Schizosaccharomyces pombe: one gene and its partners. The gene in region 2 interacts genetically with the main gene of each other region. Each region holds a gene or a part of one and is shown on either strand. Other genes may lie near its edges.

Region 1 (6,687 bases), on a different chromosome or scaffold from region 2:
ATCTTCCTCATCTACAACATCTGGTCAAAAAGGATCCAAAATCCTACAGAGAAGAATTTTTGCAGCAATGGAATCACTATGAAACCGCGCGCGAAATTTTTCTTGTTAATCCATCTTCAGACATTTCCGAATTTTGTTCATTAATCGATTTCATTTCCCAAACTTGTAATTATTATCATGATGTTACTGCCGACTTTCCTAGCGAATTAATTGAGCTATTACAAAAAAACCACACAATATTCCCTTTCGAACTTTGTGAAAAAATCGTTTTATGCCTTGTTCTGTTAAAAAATAAAACAGTAATATCTCCTATTACATTACTACAATGTTTTTTCCCGCTTTTCCGTGAAAATCCTACTCGTGGTGTTCGCGAACTTTTGTATCAACAGGTATCTCTCACCATTCGGAATGCCAATAAACAAGCCAAAAATGATAAGTTGAATAAAGCTGTTCAGTCTGCTCTGTTTACTTTGGTTGACGGTTCGGGTAGTGGTTCAGCAACACATACTGATTATTCTGGACAAAAGCGAGAATATTCAGCAAGTGAATTATCAGGTGTTTGGGCTGTCAAAATGGTTCGTGATTTATGGAAAAGGAATGTTTGGTCCGGTGATGCACGTGCCGTAAACATCATGAAATCTGCCGCACTATCATCAAACCCCAAAGTTATGCTTGCAGGGATTTACTTTTTCTTAGGTGCTGACAATCAAGAAGAGGAGGAGGAATCTGATGATGAGGGTCCAGATGTTTCCAAGCTTTTGCATCAAGCTAATGTAAATAAAAAGACAAAATCCCGTGAGGCTGCTTTGCTTCGTGCTCGCGCAGTTGTAAAGAAGAAAGAGCGAGGAAAACAAAACGTCCCCACAAACGTTAACTTTCCGGCTTTACAGCTTCTTCATGACCCTCAAGGATTTGCCGAAGAACTTTTTGAAAAGCACTTGGCTAGCTCAAAAAGCCGTCTGTCAATGGATCAAAAACTGGTGGTCCTTCGACTCCTTACCAGATTGGTAGGTTCTCACAAACTTACAGTCCTAGGTCTTTATTCTTTTTTAATGAAATATTTGACACCCCACCAGAGAGACGTTACTCAGTTTTTAGCATGTCTCGCTCAAGCTTCCCATGAATTCGTACCTCCAGATGCGCTTGAACCGTTAGTTAGAAAAATTGCCGACGAATTCGTTACTTCAGGTGTCGCCAATGAGGTTGTTTGTGCTGGTATTAATGCTATTCGTGAAGTTTGTGCTCGTGCGCCTTTGGCAATGACTCCCGACCTTCTTCAGGATCTAACTGAGTACAAATCTAGTAAGGATAAAGGTGTTATGATGGCTAGTCGTAGTCTCATCACTCTGTATCGTGAAGTTGCTCCCGACATGTTGAAAAGAAAGGATCGTGGTAAGCTTGCTTCTATTGAGATGAAAGATCGTACACCTTTGAAGTATGGTGAGGAGTTAAACGTCACCCACGGAATCCAAGGATTGGAACTTTTAGCTCAGTATAAAGCTGAACACGGAGAAGAAGGAGAAAATGGAGACGATTGGGATAATTGGGAAGTTTCAGAAGATGGACAGAATTCTGATGATAGTGGTGGCTGGATCGATGTCGATAGTGATGACAATATTGAATTAAGTGACAGCGATGAAGAGGAAGAGAAGGCCACTGCAAGAAAAGAATCAGATGAGAAAGGATCTTCTTCACAAAAGGAACTAGTTGATAGAATGACCGAGCTTGCGTCTCAATCTATTTTGACACCTAATGACTTGAAAAAGTTGGAAGAGCTTAGGGAGCAAGCGGGTGTTGATCGTCTCGTCAATGGACCTAAGCGTTCTTTAAAGAGGCCAGACGATGCCGTTGAGGCTGATGAAATTGAAGGTCCTAGAAAAAAGGCTAAGAACGACCGAGAAGCCCGTATTGCTAGTGTCATGGAAGGACGTGAAGGACGTGATAAATTTTCATCTAAAAAGGCAGGTTTTAACCCAACAAGTCTTTCTAACAAAAGAAAACAACGTAACAAGAACTTTATGATGATTAAGCATAAATTAAAAGGTAAAGCTGGACGAAGTCTTGTTCAAAAGCAAAAAGTTTTACGAGAACACGTAGCTCGTGAAAAAAGGAAAATAAAGTAAGATATTGATTACTATATTCGGTTTATGCTTTTCCTTTTGGGGCATCTTATATAGGTATATTTAATTAGGTTTTGGGTTTACATGATTGAGGGATAACCTATGGTAAAGGTGGATACTGGAAGTGAATTTAATAATATAAATTACTATCATTATTAAAGATAAACATATAAATCTCGTAGCGTCATCATAAAAAGTGTAAATCCTTAACTCACAGAAAATGCGTTATAGAATAAACAGTATCAAACCACATAAACTTTACGAAGAAGTTGGAATGGAAACTCTTTGCCAGAATAAGGGTCTCTAAGAAATCCTTCTCTAGTCCCATTAGCTTCGTTCCAACTTATGAGGCTCTGGATACCATAAACTCGACCGTTCGGGAAAGCAACAGGACAATTGTCGCTGTCAAGTCCTTCGCCTGTCAGAGAATCCACTATCGCAGACTGAGTAATATGGGCATAAGGAAGAGCTTTGCCAAGGTCATTTAAGCAGGGCGTACATACAGGGCATTGTTTCACAGTCTGGGATTGTAATGCTAAAGGATTATCATCATTCGCGTCAAGATAACACAACGGGGTTTTCAGGGAAGATAGACCAGCAGCTAACAATGCATGTAAAAGAGGTACAGACGGTATATTATGAACGGCAGTAAAATTGCTGGTAAACAAGGAAGCCAAATATTCCCATCGGTCATCGGATAGAAGCAACTAATTTGTCAGTATAAGCTAAGAGCAGAGGTCTCTCAATGTAAACTTACCGAATATGGTGAACCATTCGTAAATTCAGGAAAAGCTAGTAGGGCAGCCGCTAGCTGTAGTCGAGCAGGATGTTCATTTGCCCAAGTACCGAAGTGCGCTTTGGCGAATGCAATGGCTTGGCAAAGTTTTTTACTTTTTATTAATTCTATAAATCTCTGTAGTCGGACCTCAAGCTCTAATGTACTATTATTTTTTTTTAAAATTGCTCGATGCTCCGAACACCAAGACAAAACCTCTTTGAGCTCCTGTTGAAGAATGGAATCGTGAATGAGCTGATAACGCTTATATATGCCTAAATCAACCAAATTCTCCAACTGAGAGTCTTTACAAAGTAGAGCAGCTGCCCCATGGTACCCATTCGCCATCATATAATCAGCAACTAAACGATTCAGTCTGACTCTTGACCAATCTAAAAAATCCGCAGATTCCATGTCACGAATTCCTTGAAGACGATTCATGAACAACAGTCGTGACTTAGTTTGCTTGATAAACAGAGCTTCACAATCATGCAAATGCTTCATCTACACAAAGAACCATGTAAGTTACAAATATCCAACTCAAAAAAAGAATCAATCAAACTTACCTTCTTCTTTACAGTACTGACTCTTGAAAGGAGAGAATCTATTTTTTCTATTTTTTCATCCATTGATGCATTCTCTTGACTGATCAACGTTGTCAATGTGGAATTGATCACATGCGATTCATGCTCCAAGTGCCGCAAAATGTGTTTGAAGTTAATGCGCAATTGCTCAAAAGAGAGAAGAATACCAGGCTTTTCAAGTATATATTGCTGCTCTGGACGAAAATTCATGTTTGAAGGCAAAGTCTAACAAACTATTGGTAGATGGACCCAAAAATTTAAATCAACTAAAGAATATTGAATATTTTAAGAATAAGAAAGTAATTAGAAGAATTTGTTTAAATGTAAGGAAAACAGCAATTGCAGAAAGACGATGGGTTGTTGGCGAAAGATACACTTTCTAGGACCGTAGTGCAAGATGAATGAAAAATAAGGAGAGCTAAAAAACAATAAAAAAAGAGGTGCATATATTAATTTATGTCAGGAAAATCTGCAATTGGTATGGAAATCTCCTTTTTGGAATGCCCCGGGTTAATTTTTACCAGTCGACATTTTCGTGCCAAGTACCAATTTTCAAATGTCGCTGGAAAAGTCCTTGGACGAAATTATAAATGAAAGAACGGTAAATTTTTTTATTTTCGATATTTGTTTTAACAATCCTAGAATGGTTTTGATCACAAGCACAGTCGGCGAAGGGGATCTCAAAATCGTATTTCCAAAAAATCGCGATTGGTATGCTAATTTCGAGGATTAAGTGTTTATTTACTAATTTTTTACTTTTTAAGACCTACAAATTCAAAAGAGCATCAAAAGAACACAACTCTAGTCCAGACGATGGCCCGTGGCAGCATGACTTGGATCAAGAGCAGGATGCTCATCCAAGGACCACTCACCTACAGAAAAGACAACAGTATGTTTTGAATTTATAAGATAAGCTGTAAACTTTTTTATTACTCTATTAGCTCTTAGTCTACATGCACTGTTATTATCATTATATACTAACACAGCAATCTTAGCTCAGAAAATCGATTTGGGGTTCGTGTGGAAAACTTACATTATCAGGTTTTGGAAAAAGATGTTTTGGTAAGTGATATATGTTTACTATGTTTTCAAAAGCCTCGCTTTTAGTTTTCGATTGAAGATTATGAAACGAACCTGACAAAAAATCTCCCTGTCAAGCTAAGTAGAGCTTTGTTCCGATTTCGAATCGCTTTTTTTATTAATAAACTAACCTTTTCTTAAGTCTTTGTTTGAAAATTTCCATCCAATTCGCGTGATTATGAACTATGATCGTGCAGGTCGCTCTGAAGGCTCCTGCGATGTTTACTTTGAAACTTCCCAAGATGCTGAAGATGCCCAGAAGACGCTTCAATCTACGAACTTGAAGGGCTCCGAAATTCAAATTTCGAAAAAGTCTCCACCTTCCTTATTCGATCGGATTTCCGACATGCCACATTCAGCCCGCAAACCAAGCCGGTCTTCTCGTTCGAACCGAGGATTCAACCGTTCTTCAAAAAAAGACGACAGATCATTTCGTTCTTCTTCAAAAAAGTCTTCTAATAATTCAATTTCACACGAAGATTTAGACAAAGAACTTGACGAATACGCAATGTCATTTCACGCTGCTTCAACTGTGTCATCTCACTCATCACAGGATTTCACACCGTCAATAGCCAATGCTCATGAGAAAAACGAGCCTGTTGCTCCTTCAAAAGATAGTAATTTGACCGAGGAGATGGACCTCCAAATGGAAGCGGTTTAAGCTCGAATTGCTGTGCAAGTAACCCTTTTCCTATGCCAAAAGTTGATTATTGAGTCAATTGCTTTGATTTGTACATTATAAAAACGAACCGGCTAAAAGGACATCTTTCATCATAACCCCTTACTTTATATATAGATGCTCGTCAATTTCCATCGTCTTCCTTCTTCTACCACAATCGTACGAATCGTACCAAAAATTAAAATTTGCAGCAGACAGATTCATATTACCTTGCAAGGCCAAAAATTTATTAATTTTATTTTTTTTATTTATGTTTATAAGTGCTTGTTAACGAAAGAGATATTTTGTTTTTGTTTCTGGCATTATTCCATTCTATTCCTACTACAGTGATCATAGCAATTAACAATACATCATCACTGTGCTCTTGTAATTTGATTGAATCGTTTTTGACACAATCTTTCATTCTTTAAAATAAAATAAATTTATATATTTCTACATTACATTCTTATTTGTTAGGTAGAAATGGGATTGGGATTTTCTTCGAAAAAGCAATTACCTGCCTACTGTGGTCCCTTGCCTGTGGGGTCTTTAGTCTTAGAGCTGAGTGTTCCAGAGGAATTTCGATGTGAATATAAAACCATTGAACACAAACTAAGAACCGTAAAAGTACGCATTTTTTATCCATTGGACCCAACAAAAGATGTAGAGCCTCGCACCGATGAGCTTTGGTTACCATTCCATGAGGGTATACCCGAAGTTGCGAAAGGTTTTCGTTGGTGGCTTCTTCGTGCGTTCGCTTCTGGTTTGACCAACTTAGCTTTGCCCGTCTACAAAGGAGAGTTGTTTCATCCACCGAACAATGGGAAACTGCCAGTATTTATCTTCAGCCATGGATTGGTTGGCTCGAGAAATGTGTATTCTTCGTTATGTGGTACAATCGCTTCCTATGGTATCGTCGTCTTGGCCATGGAGCATAGAGATAACTCGGCCATCATATCTACAGTGCGTGATCCATTACATCCTGAAGAACCCCCGTACGTTGTTCAGTATCGCGAGATAAGCGACTTTTATGCAGACGCTACGGTTGTGCTTCAGAATGAACGACTTTTATTTCGACAGCAGGAAATCCAAATAGCCCTCCAGATGATTCGAAATATCAATGACCTTGGAACTCCGGACGAAAACTTACCCTTTCTTTGCTCTGTGGACTCTTCTTTTTATAATTCTGTTTTCCAATCCATGAAGGGTAATTTGAATACCGCTCAAGGAGAATTGATTGTTGCTGGTCATTCTTTTGGTGCCGCTACTTGCGCATTCATTTCCGGTTCTTCTACCAAGTCCTTATATAATGACTATATGTTTCACACTGAGTTTAAGTGCTCCATTTTATACGATATATGGATGCTTCCCGTACGCCAGCTCCATTTGAGTACGATGAGGTATCCTACGCTCATGATTATATCTTACGAATTTCGTCGGTTTGTCGACAATTTTCAAGCTCTCGAAAGT
Region 2 (9,681 bases):
TACCTGCCGAAGTCACACCGATTGACTTATATAACCACTTTAAACAGGCTGGTGTAGTAAAAGGGACGGCGGTCAGCCAGTTTCTTGACCAAAGAGGGTTCCGGTATGGCGAAGTGATTATGGATTCAGTTGAATCATGTCAAAATGTAAGCTCAATATGAAGAGAAAACCCCAATATTTGCATAATCTATTTCATGATACTAACCTCATTATTAAGGCAATAGAAAAATTAAATAACGTTCCATACAAAGGAAGCATTTTAGAGGTCAGTATAAAAAATAAAGCCTCTTCTTCAGTGAAGTCAATTCCCACAACGCCGACTGGTGAAAGCTTATGGCCTTTCCCATCGGAAAACGCTAACAAAACTCAAATAAATATCGAAAATGCTACATGTTCGAAGATGACATGGATTATGGGCTCACCAACTAAGGAGAAAAGCCAATGGGGTAGCGTTTCAACTACCGGTGTTTCAAATCAGCAAAATCATCCAGCCGCTTGGAACCCAGATAATAAACCTCAGTCAATCGTGCATTGGGACTCTTTACGTGAAAGCTCTCCAAGTATCCCTAATTCTCCTATTGACCCTTCAAATCTATACGTTAAAAATTTAGATGATACCGTCATCACATGCAAGAGTCAGCTGGAAGATTTATTCTCACCCTTCGGGTCGATTTTGTCTTCCATGTTAGCATGCTATCCAAATTCAGGAATCTCCAAAGGTTATGGTTTCGTAGCGTTTCGTCAAATAGAGGCTGCCGTTAGAGCCAAAGACACATTGAATGGAATGATGGTTGGGAAAAAAAGGATTTTCGTTTGCTTCGCGGAGCGAAAGTCTGACAGAATTCGTAGATTGCAAGCATTTTTTGCAAACAAACCTACTTCAGAACAAACAGCGCAGCAAGACAACAAAGCTTTGTTCGTCAAACCAGAAAGAAGCTCTACTGTTACCATCCGAAAGCCAATAGAGTCTTCTACAAACAAAATCTCTGAGAATCCCACGACCCTTTCAAGTAAGGTTGAAAATAAGAATGAGCCTAAGACTGGTGAAAACAAAGAACCCAGTCAGACAAATGAATATGTTAACTGTAAGCAAGAAAATAAGGAACTTAGTGGACAGTTATCAGGCAACTTGGATATAAAGAAAGAAGCAGGAAAATTGAGCCATGACGGAGAACAAGGAAACTTGTTAAAACCATTGGTATTCCATGCTAACACAAAACTAAATAACCGAGGGTCTGCTAAGATGGGTTCAACAGCCACCAACTTGAAGAAGATACAAGACATGCTTCACAACAAAAAGCTGAGTAATGCATACTTTGTGCCAAGAGCAAGAGCAACAACCTGTACAACTCTTACGTACGTAACAGTTGAGCCCTCACATTTCCAAGATGAGGACTGTAATGAGTCAACGAACATGCTTTCACTTGTCGGGTACATGGACAGCTATCCAGAAGCTACATCCAATATCCAAAAAATGAATTCCTATCATATTAAAGATTCAAATAAGGAAAATTTTTTATCAACAACAAAGGTTAACAACAATTCACCAACAACTATTCAGTTGACGCAGATTTAACAAGATGCGGTGAAGATATAACTATGAAACAAAATTCATAATGCTATATCCCTCAAAACTCCGATGAACAAACTTTTAACTCCTTAAAATATATACATCGTGAACGGATGGATTTGCTAGTATAACCCTACAGTATCTTACAACTACCACAACGTGGAATTTAAACGAAACCGTTTATTTTTAGTCTTTAATCAAAAACATTATAAGGAAATTTGATTTGAAAGATAATTCTTTATTAATTCGAAAGTTGACAGCTGGATCAGATTTGTTTAGAGATTTATGATTTTAGCAGGTTCATTGACTGACATCCAGTAGCTTGGTGACAGTTTGACGAACCAGATTAAAAACCATGAGTTCATTAATAGCGTTAGGTAAACGGCAAACATTATTGTCACATAATGAATTTTTAAATTTTAAAAATCAAAAGGGTTTCTGCAAAAGGTTTATTTCTCAACTAAACAAGAAATCCAATTTTCCCGCTCTTGCGATGACAGTTCCTGAAGCCACAAAATATCTCAAATCTGTGAGCATTTCTGTTCCATATGTTGGGTCTTATATGCTTTCAATTGCTTTAAAAAGTAATCGACGCGCTCCGTCAGCTCGTGGTCAAATTGCCTTTCCTCATCCATTTCAAGAGCCTCCTAAAATTTGTGTGTTTGCTAAAGGTGCAGCTGCAGATGAAGCTTTAAAATTGGGTGCAACCTATGTTGGTGCAGAAGACTTAGTAAAAAAAATTCAAACAGAGCCCCTTGAATTTTCAAAGTGCTTTGCTCATCCCAACTCGGCAGAATTACTACCACAAGTTGCTAAATTATTAGGATCAAAACGTCTTATGCCTTCAATAAAACGAGGTACTATATCAGATGAATTGAAGCCACTCATTGAATCTGCCCTCACAGCTGTTGACTATCGGCAAAATGATGCAGGCTCGATAAATTTGCCGGTTGGAAAACTAGGGTTCAGCGACAAGGAGCTACAAGAAAACATCGAAGCACTTGTATCAAATGTTCGGTTTACTTTGGCCAAACTGCCTGGAAAAGTTAAAGTTACCGTAAAGCATGTTCATCTTTCCGCCTCACATGCTATTGCAATTCCTCTCCAGTATAAATAATGATTAAAATGTTATTGCATGGGAAATTTAGTCTACAGTCTTGTCATTTGTAATATGTATTACATGATTAATTTTGTACAAATTAGTGAAATGTGTAATGATATTTTATCTAGTAAATTTAGAAGCCTGTTTATATTTATTTATTATCATAAACTACTTTTTAAAAAGTATGAATGAAACGTTAGAATACAACATTATGAAAGTTACTCTGTGCGATGCCATTTCAGAACAGGCGATTCCGGAGAATCAAATCTGTTATCACAAGCTGAGGTATCTACGTTTTCAGCCGTAACCCACTGGTGATTTGGATCAAAAAATAAGGACATAGGGTTTCCCATACTCGCGTTTTCAACATCATTATCTGAGGAAAAAGTGTCCGGATGTAGAGATTGGCAAGTACAAAGAGCCTGGTAACATGAATCAACATCAGTAACATATAATGTTAGTTCTAAAAAATCATCTGTGAATTCATTTTCATCTTCGGTAGAAGGAGCTTCATGCAATGTTCCTGACGACCGTTCAAATTTAAGAATGTGATCTAGCAAGGGTCGAATGGCTTCACCCTCTAATTGAACATATACATATGGCTTATCCTTGCTTTGTTTCGCATGAAGAGTAATGGTTTCATATGGAATTTTCCAGCCAGAATTCTGTTCTTCATCAAAAAGGATAAAGCTCTGTGAAGTTACTAATAAAGTTATCAATTTGCCCAAAGGAAAACTTTCCTCATCACTTCTAATTTTATAGGGGACTGTTTTTTCTTCAAAATAAACGATTTCTTGATTTGGCAACAACTTTTCACCATTTTCAACTTTGCGAATTAGGTCCTTTGGAAGTGAGTCAATTTTGGTAATCATAATTACTTCTTGCTTCCAATAGGTATTTAAGCATAAAAATTATTAAAAAACAGTAATAAGGCCACCTCTACCTGATAATTTATTGAAAGAAAAGGTTTACTGTGCGTTGTATTCTTTTGAAGTACTCAAATACAATATCTTCGCATATTAAGCATTTCGCAAAATCGAAAATATATTTCTACTCTTAACCACACGAATTTTTTATAAATTGAACCATTATGCCAAACAGGATATCGATTTTACTCAAATACTTTTGATATGCAATTTTCGTAAATGACAAGCTAGTTATTCATTGCAATTACAAAACAAACTCATGAATATAAATAGTTTTGTGGAAAAAATAAAGGAAAGGTCTAAGGTCTTTATGAAGTAATCCTCGTTACCCAAAAAATTGGGACTCAAAACTTTTGAAATTGGATTTTTTATTTTATATAGTAAACAGATTTATAAGTGTAGCGAAATAAAGCTAAGAATTTTTTAGCAACCAATTCATTGCTATATAAGGTTATACATTGATTTGGATACATGTAATGAATTAGCATCAGTGGATCGTTTCTCTCATAAAGGTGGGTCTTTCTAAAGTATACGAGATTGACTTTCAAACACCAACTTTCCAAATCAAACTTCGAAAGACTTTTTTAAAGCTAGTGACAAGGTTGGAGCAGAAGATTCTCCAAGCCAGTTTTTAGTTAATTAATAGAATGAAAACAAATCGAAAAGTTCAAAAATCAAAATTAGCAAGGCAAGATTCTGGTCATCAGTATATAATTAAATGATGGCAGTATGTGGATGCAAATCCTCCAAGATAATTTTTTAGTGAACAATTTAATCAATAAATTTTCAAAGTAAGATACCATAACATGCATGCAGGGTTTTCTTCAAATATTTTTTAGGACAAAAGTATACTTTAATTTACGCATTGAATTTAAGAATCACTTGTTGCGTAAACTGGAATCGTGGTTGACACTACTTGGCAGCTGTAAATACAGCAAATCGAGTTTGTCAAGTATAGATTTTGTGGCATTCTCCATTGAGTTAGAACTGTTTTCAGGAGATGCAACTTTCATGATATTTCCATGTTGTTTGTACACTTTAGAGGTTGTAAATAAAGAGGGAGTAGCCATTAAACCTTTTTCATCAAATGACAAAGTATAAAGCCAAACAAGACTTTGAAACCAATTATTCATAGGGACACTCCAAATAAAGTAGCGAAAATTGGGAACTCGAGGATGTACATCATTTAGCACAGAGTTAGCTAATAGTTTAACAGCTTCGTCAGTAGTTGATAATTCTTCATTCATTTTCTTGTATACAGGTAGAGAAAACTGAGATATAATGGCTAGAATAGAATCCAATTCAAGTCTTGAATGCCAAGAATTAAACCACGAGTTGGAAGGTGCAAACAAATTTGAGTCAATTTCTAAATCTTTTCCAAACGGATTGGATGCACATTTTTTAATAAGTTCTGAACTAGAAACATTTTCCGGTATTTTCCCACGCAACTTTCTAGACAGAACCAATGGAGAATCTGAGAATACATCTTGAAGGACTGTCGGGACAGAAATCGAAACATTTCTACTCGAAATATGTGATAAGCCACCGCGTGAACTACTGCTACTAAAAGGGGAGGAAAATTTATCTAATTCATCGAAAGGTGAATCATCTTCAACGGTAGCAACTTTTTTAAAGTCAGTATTTTGGAGTGGTGTTCCATCTAAGGAGGTGTTATCGGATGATTTAGATTCAAAATCACTACTTCCTTCCGAATTGAGGGCCACTAAAGGCTGTGATTTAGTCTGAGCAACGGCAGGAAGTTTCATAGAATTAAGATTCAAAAAAACTTGCTGGAGGCGAATAATAGAATAACTGAGATTAGGGTTTTGAGAAAACTTGTTTTCAACTATACTAGAAATAGCCTGTAACAGGTATTCAAGAAGCAGATGATTGCGCGGATTACGAAAAAGAAACCGAGGAGATGAAAGAGATGAACAGAGTTGCATTAATTTGGCACACGTAACGAAACTTAGGTTTTCAACAAATGGTGCAATATTGCATATGGTCAACAATATAACAGGAGATAAACTGCTAAACGGAGATCTCTTCACTGCTGAAATATGAAAGCTAGACTGGAAGGCGTAAGTAATAAAATTAAAATAAACAATTAATCGTGAATCTTACGATAATCAAAAACTCTGCATAAGACATTGGTGGGACTGAGAACCCAAGGGAAGACATCAATGATTGTGCATTCATACAGTTTCTATTTAGTTTTTCACAAAGAACCTTCTCGCATGATAAATAATGAACGATAAAAAGGCAAATGCGAACAAGGCCGGAATGTTCATTGTCTTCACGATATCTAAGTGCATAAAACTGAATAGAAGTTAAAAACTCCGTAGCATAAGGAGAAGTGATCAAAAATGCTCGGAAACGCTGTTTTAAATTAGTTAGCAAATATAATGAACGCGTAACAACATAAATTAAACAACTGTACAAATAATGTAATATATATAAAAGGACCGTTGAACATACTTTATTATATAAAATTGCTTGCCAAAGAAACAAAATAATTTCCGGAAACGCGATATTAGGCTTTTGTACAATTGAAATATAGGCAGAGATAGCGGAAACTGGTGCATTCAATAGCCGATATAGTTCGTTAACTAAAAATTCATAATCAGCTTGTAATTGAAGTCGAGAAAAATATAATCTATACTGATTTTCGATAGCAGCGCCAGGAGAAAGATTGAGTCTCTGTCTGAAGTATTCGACTGTTGTTTCATGAGGGGTGTGATCTAAAAAAAGCAAAAGGATTTGAGAAGTAAGTTTTGAGAGTGCAATGCTAGAATCATTATAAGGTACTAGAGTTGAATACGAAGCCTTCCAGCTATCAGGTCTAAGTCGCAAAGTCTAAAAACTAAGTTAGTTGTACAACAAAAAAAGGTAAATTTTAAGCCAAAACTTACAGTATTTATAAGGGAATAAAGAAAAACTAGTATAAGCTGCTTATTTGCTACACAGGTCAAATAAGTAAGGGTGTGAGAAGCTACTTCAGAAGATCGATACAGCCTTTTAGAAATCAATACTAACAGCAAACGAAGAACCTCAATGCGATTAAACGCAAGTTCCTTTGTGGTTTTCTCTTGGGTTTCTGTTGTACCAATTCCATTTTCCCTGCAAAAGTGATTAGTTAACACATTGCATTTAACCAAATATAAAAAAGCAAACGAAAAACAAAAAAAAAATATATATATATATACATATATACTTACCATATAATGTATGCATATTGCTCAGGACTTGAAAGAGGAAGCGTAAAGCCTCTGCAAAAAAGCAAACGAAAGACGGTGTCCAGCAATTCCTCCATTAAAGTTTTTTCATGAGTAAAAGTTTCTTCAATAGAGCCAATTTCTTTGATTGTGCTAGAACCACCTACTGATACGTCAGCGGCAGAGACGTCTGAAGAAGCATCAAGGGAGATGGAAGAAGCAGGAAAGGTGCTCACAGGAGATAATGGGACTGAAGGAGACTTCTGCGAGAATTCGTTCTTTTGGGAGATGGAATTTTCAAAATCTAGATCGTCTTGAAAATTACTAAGGTCTAATTCGGAATTTTCCTTTGGTAAATTTCTCTTCTTTCTAAGGCTCCACCAAAACTTTTGATGCCATTCTTCTAAATCGAGTTTCTCATTCAAAAAAGGAATGATTCTAGTAAGTAGGCGAATGCAGTTTAACGCTTCACTCGCTGGTGCCGTTTCAGGATTTGGAAACTTTTTGTCATTTTTCAACGCAAACAAACGAGATGTCAATACAAGCAGCAATTTTTCAAGGTTTACAAAGGCATGATCCCTCATCTCACGAATGAGACCTGGGGGAAAAAAATCGTAAACTTCTGGACAACTTTCAGGTACACTCCAAAGCTAATAAACATAAAAACGAATACATTAGTAAAAGCGTCTTACACAAGTTAATAAAAAAAATTTCATACAGAAACCCAAACTTCATCATCCAACGGTATATCCTACTAGAATTAGCTTGCAATGTTCTCTTAGCGTATCATCCACCCATAAACACAAACCGTACCGGTTGAGAAGCTAATCTTGCAATTCCTCGCTGAAATGCCAATCTAAACAGTTAGCTCATACGAAAATTTCGCAATGTTACTTACTTTGACTCTTGGCCTCCCATATTCTCTAATTAGATGCGAAAACCGTAAAGTGCTCTTGACAAACGCTGCAGCTTCATCGATAATCGTTAGGTACTAGTAGACCCGTCCATGTGTATACTTTATTCGCGCGCTAAGTTTCCAAAAGATGCATTATTTCATATTGCGAAATTTTATTATTGCTCGAGTTAATTTGTTAGCTCTACCGTACATTTAATGATCGTTAGCATTACGACGAATTTTCACATTTACAGTCAATGCACTATGACTCACTATTTGGTAAACACTTTTTAGCAAACTGCAATTTGTTAGGAGGCAGGGTAAGGAAAACAATTGATTACCATCACGAAATGAGAATTAAGGAAGAAATACAGCTTGTCAAAGAGACTTCAGCTACCTGCTGAACTGCATTTAAATGTTTGTGAGTTTTTGGTTTCTACTCGTTATCTCATAATTACCGTGCCATCAGATAAACCTCAAAGGTTTCTCAGTTATAAAAAAAACAAGGAAACTGTATAGCTGTAAACAATTCATCTACTGTATAACTCACGCGGCAAAACCACATGAGACATCTGTCGAAGCAAACAATGATATATTTACATGTTCAGTAGATGAATCGCTAGACTATGCCGTGATATGTTAGAGTTCCTTATATTATATACAATGAAGTACATTATAAATGGCTGTATTCAAATTTTAGCTATTTCTGTAAAATAAACAAAGCAGCTATCTATTTTGAAGTGAGATTTTTTTCCAATTTATAATAATTTCAATTATAAAAGGTGCTCTTTTTCTACTCTCAATGTACTTGAAATGTCATATATGTATTTGATATCGTCAAAATTGTCAATAGCAAGATAACTAAATAAATGAGATGATAAAGATCTTATTAATTAACTTGGTAGATGATTTTTCCTACTTTTTCCTTTAATCCTATAGCTGATTAACAGGTAATTATTAACAAAAAAATGACTTTTCTTCCATTCTTCTGATTGTTTCAACTCCACTCTGTTATTATGTATCTATTCTCTTTTCTTATCGGTATACCGATTTACGTTAGAAAATGGTAAACAGTATAACGAGAAACCCTCGGTTTCGGTTCATATCTGTATAAAATTAGCAGATTAGCGAAAAATGCTGGAAAGAAAATTAATCAAGGTCAGACATGAACTTGAATTCCTTATCTATAATCTAATTTGTACTTAAATAGAATCCTTTTTTTTCGGTCAACTTCGTACTGCGTTCGAATTTTTCTGGTTTGGATTTTTAGTGTTTTGCAAACATACCTTTACCATACACTAATACCCTAAAAATCACTTCGACACCAACTTACCACGAACCAAGTTCGACAATTTTCACCACCGGTTTTGGGAAAATGTCAGTTAGTGTTGCATTAAAAGCAAAGCCCATTGCTTATGGTGCAGTTGCATGTGCAAATTATGTGAATCTGTCTGGTGCAGGAAGCATTTCCGTCAAGTATGAGGACGTTGCTTTATTAGACAAACAAAACAAGGAATCGAACGTCTCCATTCAGCTTAACGGCTCTGATTCTCCTGTATTCGGTTCCAAGTTGGCTTTACAGACTTTCTCTCAAGTCTATCCTAAACTTTTCATTGGCGAAAACGATCGTTCTTTGGTTGAGAGTTGGGTGGAAACTGCCTCTGCCTTAGCTGGTAACCACAACTTTCTTGAGCTTTCTTCACTTCTTGCTCAGTTAGACGACCATTTAATTATGCGCTCTCTTTTTGTGGGTTATTCCCTCACCTCTGCTGATTTTTCTATTTGGGGTGCCTTAAAATCAAACAACATGGCAGCTGGTGCCGTACGCACTGGCCAGTATTTCAACCTTGCTCGTTGGTACAAGTTTATGGATTCTCAAAATGCCGTGAGTGTCACCATGGAAGAATTCACCAAGGCAGTTAATATTAGCAAAAAACAAAAATCTTCTGGTCCTAACTACGAGATCGGTCTTC
Region 3 (6,691 bases), 3.2 Mb from region 2:
TCAACCTAAAAAATTTCGAGTTAACTGCATGCACTTTATTTAGCTTCTCTTCTCTTAAATAAACACTTTTTATCCTTCTTCCAATCTCTCCTTTCTTGGATATAAGAGTTGTATAATATTTATAAAACAGAGGGGAATTTACTTGCTGTTATTATTTTTTTCCAAGCTTAGATTCTGGTTTTCACTTTTGATACACTTTGTACATGCCTACATCTTACCTAGCTTTTACTTGAACTGGTAAACGAGAGGAATTTTAGGAACGAGTCAGGCGTTATAATTGAATTGCACGATAGTCTTTTCATAAGGCTTTTATTTTACTTGATGCGGCTATAAAATATAAGTTTGTCAAAATTATTTATTTTGTATCAGACGGTTTTCATATATTCAATTTGAAAAGGAAACTGGCGCATAAAAAATACATTATTCTAAATGGATGTAGATTCAATTTTTAAAAATACCGAGGAAACAAATAAGAAAAGGAACCCTGAGGAAGCAGACTCTTTGGAGCCAGCTAGTAGTCGCAGAAGACTCGCTGAAGAGAATAGCGATGAGGAGAATGAAGAATTTGACGAGGAAGGAGGTAGATTTTTTGGAAGTGGGCTTAAAAAGAGTGAAAAAACCGTTTTAGACTTTTTAGACGAACAGGAAGCCCAGGAAGAACCTGCTTCATTGACTCCTACTGAATTGAAGCGCATGGTAGTACGACTTGAAAAAACAATTAATAATAATCAGGAGTTACGCATCAAGTATTCTACTTCTCCTCAAAGGTTTATAGAATCAGAGGCAGATCTTGATCTGGAAATTCGAAGCTTCAATGTGCTTTCAGAGTATCCTATCCTCATACCCATTTTCCTTAAATTAGATTGTGTTTCCACGTTTTTAGAATTAATGAACCATGAAAATGCGGATATTACTATTACGGTATTGGAGCTATTGATAGAACTGACTGACGAGGATGTTGACCCAGACGCATTAAACTCCTTATTTACTTCCCTTATAGATTCTGGTTTGCTTCCTTTGCTTTCAAATACAATCAAAAGGTTTGACGAATCTAATGAGGAAGACCGACATGGAGTATATTGTGTGCTCTCTCTTATGGAGAATTTATTATCTGTGGACAATAGCATTTGTTCAATAATAGTTGAAAACACAACATTGGTAGAATGGTTACTGAGTAGATCGTCTGTTGATGAAACTTCTATATCAACTAATTTGCAGTACGCTGTTGAAATTTTAGCTATCATTCTCGCTAATTCAAAAGAAGCTAAATTGAAAGTGTGCAACTTGAATGGGATTGATCTTTTGTTGCGCCGGATCAGTCCTTATAGGCTTCGTGATCCAACCCAAGGATCAGAAGAAGAAATGATGGAAAACGTGTTTGATTGCTTATGTAGTCTGGTTCAAGAAACGAAAGGAAAATCCCTTTTTCTAAAAGAGGAAGGTATTGAATTATGCATACTAAATATGAAACATAAAGGAAAAAGCCGTTATTCTACAATCAAAGTTTTGGACTATCTTTTATTTGGGCCTCTTTCCACTCCTTATTGTATTCGATTTGTAGAAGCAGGCGGTTTGAAATATATTTTTGCTGCGTTTATGAAAATATCTGCAGCCGATACTCTGGAACATATATTAGCTATTCTGGCATCTTTATTTCGATCTTTACCTGCTGACACCGTAGAAAGGGTGCGCTTTTTACGGAAATTCATTGAAAATGACTTTGAAAAAATGAAACGCCTTTTCAAAATTTACGATCGCTTGAGAATCCAACTCAAAGGTATTGACCAAAGCAGAAAACTTGATTTTAGTCCTGATTCGGAGGAAAAGAGTACCAAATGGTTTCTCCAACAAATTGATCATGGACTGTTTCCTTTCCAATCTACAGTTCTTATCCTTTCGTGGTTATGCGTTGAAAATACAGTGACATTGAAAAAAATTAAGATGCTGTTTTCCGAAGCATCCATTCCAATTGATGAGTTGACTGATGCTCTAAAAAATTATCATGAAAACCTTGAAGAACCGACGGTGGAGTCCGAAGAGGTGGAGGCCAACGACTCTTACTACAGAATTGACGAAAAACCTATGGTTACTGTTTTACTTGGATCTATGCAAGCATCTGTGTAATAAAATCATGACTTGTTCTGATAACATATTTTCAATTTAATGAGTTGTACATTTGTTATTATGGAACATAAAGAGTGTTTGGTATTATAGAATTATATATATTTTTAAACAAAAAAACTAAAAATTAAACACTAGCAGTTCTTGATATGCCAGCATATTTGGAAGGCACAAAAGATATTCGTGTAAAAAATTAAAAGGTGAAATGTATATGTTATAATCAATAAAACTTCGGAATAGACGTTTCGATGATAATAAATGTAAATGATTAATCGGCTAAGTGTGAATACTCAGTTTCACGAAGTTTTTTCTGGAAAAACTTTTCCAATCTATCGGCATTTTTATAGTAAGTCGTGTTGGAGTCATTGTAAGAACGGCAATTATCAAATATATATTTTGCATCCCGAATAAATTCCTCTACAGACTCATACTGGTTGTTACGCAACCGAAATTCCATAGTCGAAAGGTCCATGGGGTGTTCAATAACTTCGTAATAATCGGGTACATCCTCTTTACTAACCGGTTGCATAAAGGGCCAGGAAGACGGATGATTTTGCATTTCTGTAAAAAGCATTTCCAAAACGGCAAAAAAAGGTTTAGGTCTGGGCTTTTTGGAGAGCTCTTCCATTTCCTTGCACCATCCAACTTCCATCAACCCAGGAACTTGAGACGGCTCTATATGAGCTGGACCATCTTTGAATACGTCTAAACCAGGATAAACAACGTTCGACCGAGTGATCCTGTTAATTTTGGAAACAACAGCAGCTTTCTGAATAGCCAAAATCAGATTAGCTTCTAAATACTTTATTTTTGGAATCATGGTGCATTGCATAAGTGTGCCACCTTCGTAATCCTTAATATAGCCAACCCATATAGACTTGTCAAGAGTAATTTCCTTAGTAAATCCTTGTTTTTTAAAATACCCGATTGCATAGTTATCTGCATATGTCAAGAAGTGCTGAATTGTAGTAGTTCCACGGACATAATCCTTTAAATGATTCATTAAATGAGAACCATAACCACGAACCTGTTCATTGGAAGCAATCGCACAAAATACAATTTCGGCAAATCCTCGTTGTTCAAATGGACGATAAGTAATACCGCCCACTACATGTAAATTATCTTTGACAATGGTCATTGAAAGATGGTTTCGATCATAAATTAGCCGCGTAATGTATTCTTTTGGCATTTTAGGAAGTTGTTTCATAAATATGTTTTTTAAACCAGTCAACATGATCATACTGTCGGCGGTGTCGTCGTTAGAAACAACACGAAATTGAATAACGCCGCTTTTTTCTTCTAATACAGATGGCTTTTCAGTAACTCGTACACTACTAATATCAAAATCAACATCTAAATCTGTAGCCACGAGCTTTCTCTTTTTAGAATTTGAAACTCCGTTAGGTACGAAATGAGAGGATGAGCTTTCCGTATCCTTGTTTTCCTTTACAGCTAAAGATTCTTGTCCATCGGAATTAGCAATTGCTTCGCGAACATTTGGATTGGATTGTTCGTCCTGTTTTACCGGTTTATCATGTACACTATCGTTTGACGCATTTGGAAAGTTGGAAGATGTACTGTCTACAACACTTGAATCGGGTGGTCGTGTTTGATCATTTAACGAATTCGACATGATTATTCTATGCCACGCATCCAAACAAATAAATCCAAAAAGTGAAGATACAGAAATTGTCAAGAACGATACAAGATGAAACGAGCACGAAAAAACGGTATATAATAACGAAATACAGAAAATTAAAATAAACGATAATTTGTTAAAATATACACCACGAACCCAGTTATTTGTCTCGAAAATTTTGTTTTTGGCACCAACAATGTGAAAAGACGTCGACCAGCCCTTTACCTTTCTAAAACTTAAGGAAACTCGGCAGGGATTCTCTTAGAAAAAGAACCTCTTTTTATAGAAAGAGTTTGAACACAAGTCAACCGAAAATGACCGTATCAAGGAGAATTTTTTAATCTATAAAAAAAATCTCAGATTTGCGCTCCAAAATACAATCAATTTTTTAATACTTCAAATCAACGATTATCCTAATATTTACTAATTAAAGACACAAATACATGATTTGACTTGGGATGCAAGATTAGAAAATTTCTTCTCTACGAATTTTCTGCTTTCATTTTTTGAAGTTATTGGTGTTGCTTCTAAATATAGAGACGCACCGTAGTTCGTTAGCAATACCTCTTTTTGTGATGATATTCTTTTATGTATTTAGCGATAAAGCTAACGAAAATATTTTCTGTGATATTACACTAACTGTGAGGCTTAGTCTACGTACTAATGGAGTGACTCTGCTAAAACGAATATTTTGGATTTAACTCGAATTATTCATTATAATATCCAACTTCTTTTCTTTTTTTTTAAAGAAGATTTTAAGACTCTTAACGTGAGATGTTCCTCTTCTTGCCGATACCGCTGAATGTTCAAGACATATGGAAAGTCAATAGCAAATATAAGCACGTCTTACTGACATGTCCTGTATGGTATGAAATCAATGAATTAGTGTTAAAACAAGTGGATTGAGTACATTGTTTAAATGGCGAAGTGGAAATGGAACAATTGTAGAAACATTTTGTTTTCAGAAATTACGCACTTGTTTTTTATTAAAATTTGTCATTTAAAAATAGTTTCTAGCAGTCTTCTTGTTTTCCTTCTATTCTTTTCATCAGCACTTTTTGCTAATACTTTCTTTTTAGCCAAAATAAAACTGGTATGAGACACATATAAGTGGTGTAGTTGCATGAAGGCAATTGCTCTTTCTTTGGGTTGTTTTATTAATGTTAACGTAAAACTTTGGTTTTTAGTTCGGGTATATCGTTTGGTTAAATCTTTAGCACTCATCGTTTTGCCTGTTCTCCCGGTTTATACGAGTAAGGTAAGGGAATTCAAGAAAGCATATGTTATGTAGTTGACCCTTTCTACTTATCATTGTTTGGAAACCTGACAGACCTTGTTTGTTATTTTCTAAGCCATTCTTCAATCTTCAATGTTACATGCTTTCCAGGGAAAGTTGGGATTATTTTGCTGTCCAACTAATAAGCACTCACTTGCTAACTCAGAGCAGGTACTTCGTTGTTCTCATTGTGGGTGGTATGAACCAGTAGATTCGGCCATGATTGATCAAAGGCGCAGGCGTGAAGATCTTCCTACTCCCGAAAGACCTGAGGCGAGTGCTCAACAGCATGCATTTTTTCCTGGCTCAAGTTCGCAACAAACCGATATTCCTAACGTTCGTCCTCAACCACATATACCGCCTCCAAGAAAAAGTGATGAGGCACCACCCCCTTACAGCTACAAGTAATGTTCTACCTTAATTCTATTTATTGTTCTACCGTTTCTAATGCTTCCCTGATGAAGCTTTCTAAGCATGTTTGGTAATATTTATTGTGCATACTATATGACTGGATATGATAGATAATAATGGCTAATTTTTTTTTTTGATTAATAGAATACAGAAGAGTTTTAATTCATAAATATTATTCATATAATCTAACTCGTAAGGCACAGCCTTTTTAAATGGTTTCCGGCGAGGAAGGAAGCTAATAAACCAAAGGATAAAAACCTATCTAAAGCATCTCATTAGATCTTTTTAATTGTCCCGATATAATAAACTATTATAGTGAGCGCCAAGCCCAAACAAATGCTGGTAATATGCTATACACAACGGTTTTTCGAACTTGACCGTTGAGGGGTTAAACTTTAAAACTGGACCTTCTGTGTTGTAGACATGAACAGGAACCTCAAGAGAGTTTGCTAATGCCTGTATTTCAATATCACTTCCCCATTTGCTATTGTTTCGAATTTCGTTACAATAATCGGATACTGGCAAAACTTCTCCAGATTCTTCGTCTAGCAAAAAGCCTTCAAACTGTTCGCAGTGCTTTAATACATAATCAGCGGATTTATTACGAAGAGCTTGGCTATTTAGTTTAACATTATGATGATAATTTAACTGATGTGAAATGGAAGCAAATAAACAATTTCCATCCGCTGGTATATCGACTGCAACAAGTCCAGCTTCCTCAAGGATTTTTGAAAACTTTTTTTTCTCTTCATTTTTGAGATCAGCCATTTTTTCTGACTCTAGCTCTGCCTGCTCAGACATTTTTTTCATCTCTGCTTTACGTCGTTCCTAATTAACTTTGTTAGTGATAATTCGTCAAAAGTTAAGCACTTACAAGTCGCTCTTTTTGTCTATTCCTAGACTTTTTAGGCTGTTGCGGTGTATTTTCTTTAGTATTCAATGAGGACTGAACTGATGATTTTTCTGCCGTCGTAATTTTCGTATCTTCCATCTGTTGTAAAAGCGTATTGAGGAGATCTTCTTGCTGCGTTTCATTTGTCTCTTCATCGCCTTTATCCAATTTTTGTCGTTCTGTAGCATGTTTTTGTGATAAATCGGCTTCCATTTGTGAGATTTTTTGCTGCAAAGCCCTTTTTTGTTTTTTATTTCCTTCCTTTAGTTGTTTACGAAGGTTTGTAATTTTGCTTTGAAGTTCTTTACATTCTTCCCGTTGCTTACTTAACAATTCCTCCATTTTTTTAGAC

Evidence for each region.
Region 1: mutations in ftp105 (region 2) and gid9 together harm fitness more than expected from each alone (negative genetic interaction), as found in Schizosaccharomyces pombe (2 studies listed by BioGRID).
Region 3: mutations in ftp105 (region 2) and gcn5 together harm fitness more than expected from each alone (negative genetic interaction), as found in Schizosaccharomyces pombe (2 studies listed by BioGRID).

What each region holds. Positions count from the first base shown.
Region 1 is NC_003423.3:399,698-406,384, reverse strand, and holds gid9 (ubiquitin ligase complex subunit), read right to left. Parts: upstream 3,852-6,687; 5' UTR 3,690-3,851; coding exon 3,462-3,689; exon of another isoform or gene 3,400-3,461; coding exon 2,878-3,399; exon of another isoform or gene 2,828-2,877; coding exon 2,363-2,827; 3' UTR 2,172-2,362; downstream 1-2,171. Other genes in the region: SDA1 family protein, read left to right, coding at 1-2,123; tho4 (THO complex subunit), read left to right, coding at 4,036-4,080, 4,122-4,190, 4,244-4,368, 4,475-4,541, 4,702-5,220; plg7 (1-alkyl-2-acetylglycerophosphocholine esterase), read left to right, coding at 5,701-6,687. UniProt on the Schizosaccharomyces pombe protein: Component of the GID E3 ligase complex recruiting N termini and catalyzing ubiquitination of proteins targeted for degradation.
Region 2 is NC_003424.3:1,784,488-1,794,168, reverse strand, and holds ftp105 (Ubp5 interacting protein Ftp10), read right to left. Parts: upstream 7,800-9,681; 5' UTR 7,732-7,799; coding exon 7,712-7,731; exon of another isoform or gene 7,670-7,711; coding exon 7,627-7,669; exon of another isoform or gene 7,565-7,626; coding exon 7,532-7,564; exon of another isoform or gene 7,464-7,531; coding exon 6,817-7,463; intron 6,719-6,816; coding exon 6,511-6,718; intron 6,455-6,510; coding exon 6,077-6,454; intron 5,978-6,076; coding exon 5,723-5,977; exon of another isoform or gene 5,671-5,722; coding exon 4,477-5,670; 3' UTR 3,814-4,476; downstream 1-3,813. Other genes in the region: poly(A)-binding protein Crp79, read left to right, coding at 1-146, 218-1,576; mrpl1 (mitochondrial 54S ribosomal protein uL1m), read left to right, coding at 1,926-2,687; protein saf5, read right to left, coding at 2,891-3,544; gus1 (glutamate-tRNA ligase), read left to right, coding at 9,084-9,681. UniProt on the Schizosaccharomyces pombe protein: Required for the localization of ubp5 to the Golgi apparatus. Involved in detoxification of cadmium ion.
Region 3 is NC_003424.3:4,971,179-4,977,869, reverse strand, and holds gcn5 (SAGA complex histone acetyltransferase catalytic subunit Gcn5), read right to left. Parts: upstream 4,247-6,691; 5' UTR 3,755-4,246; coding exon 2,390-3,754; 3' UTR 2,172-2,389; downstream 1-2,171. Other genes in the region: SPOM_SPAC1952.06C (uncharacterized protein), read left to right, coding at 430-2,124; SPOM_SPAC1952.04C (uncharacterized protein), read left to right, coding at 4,535-4,626, 4,840-4,853, 4,948-5,018, 5,208-5,444; OUT family ubiquitin-specific cysteine protease Otu2, read right to left, coding at 5,733-6,275, 6,322-6,681.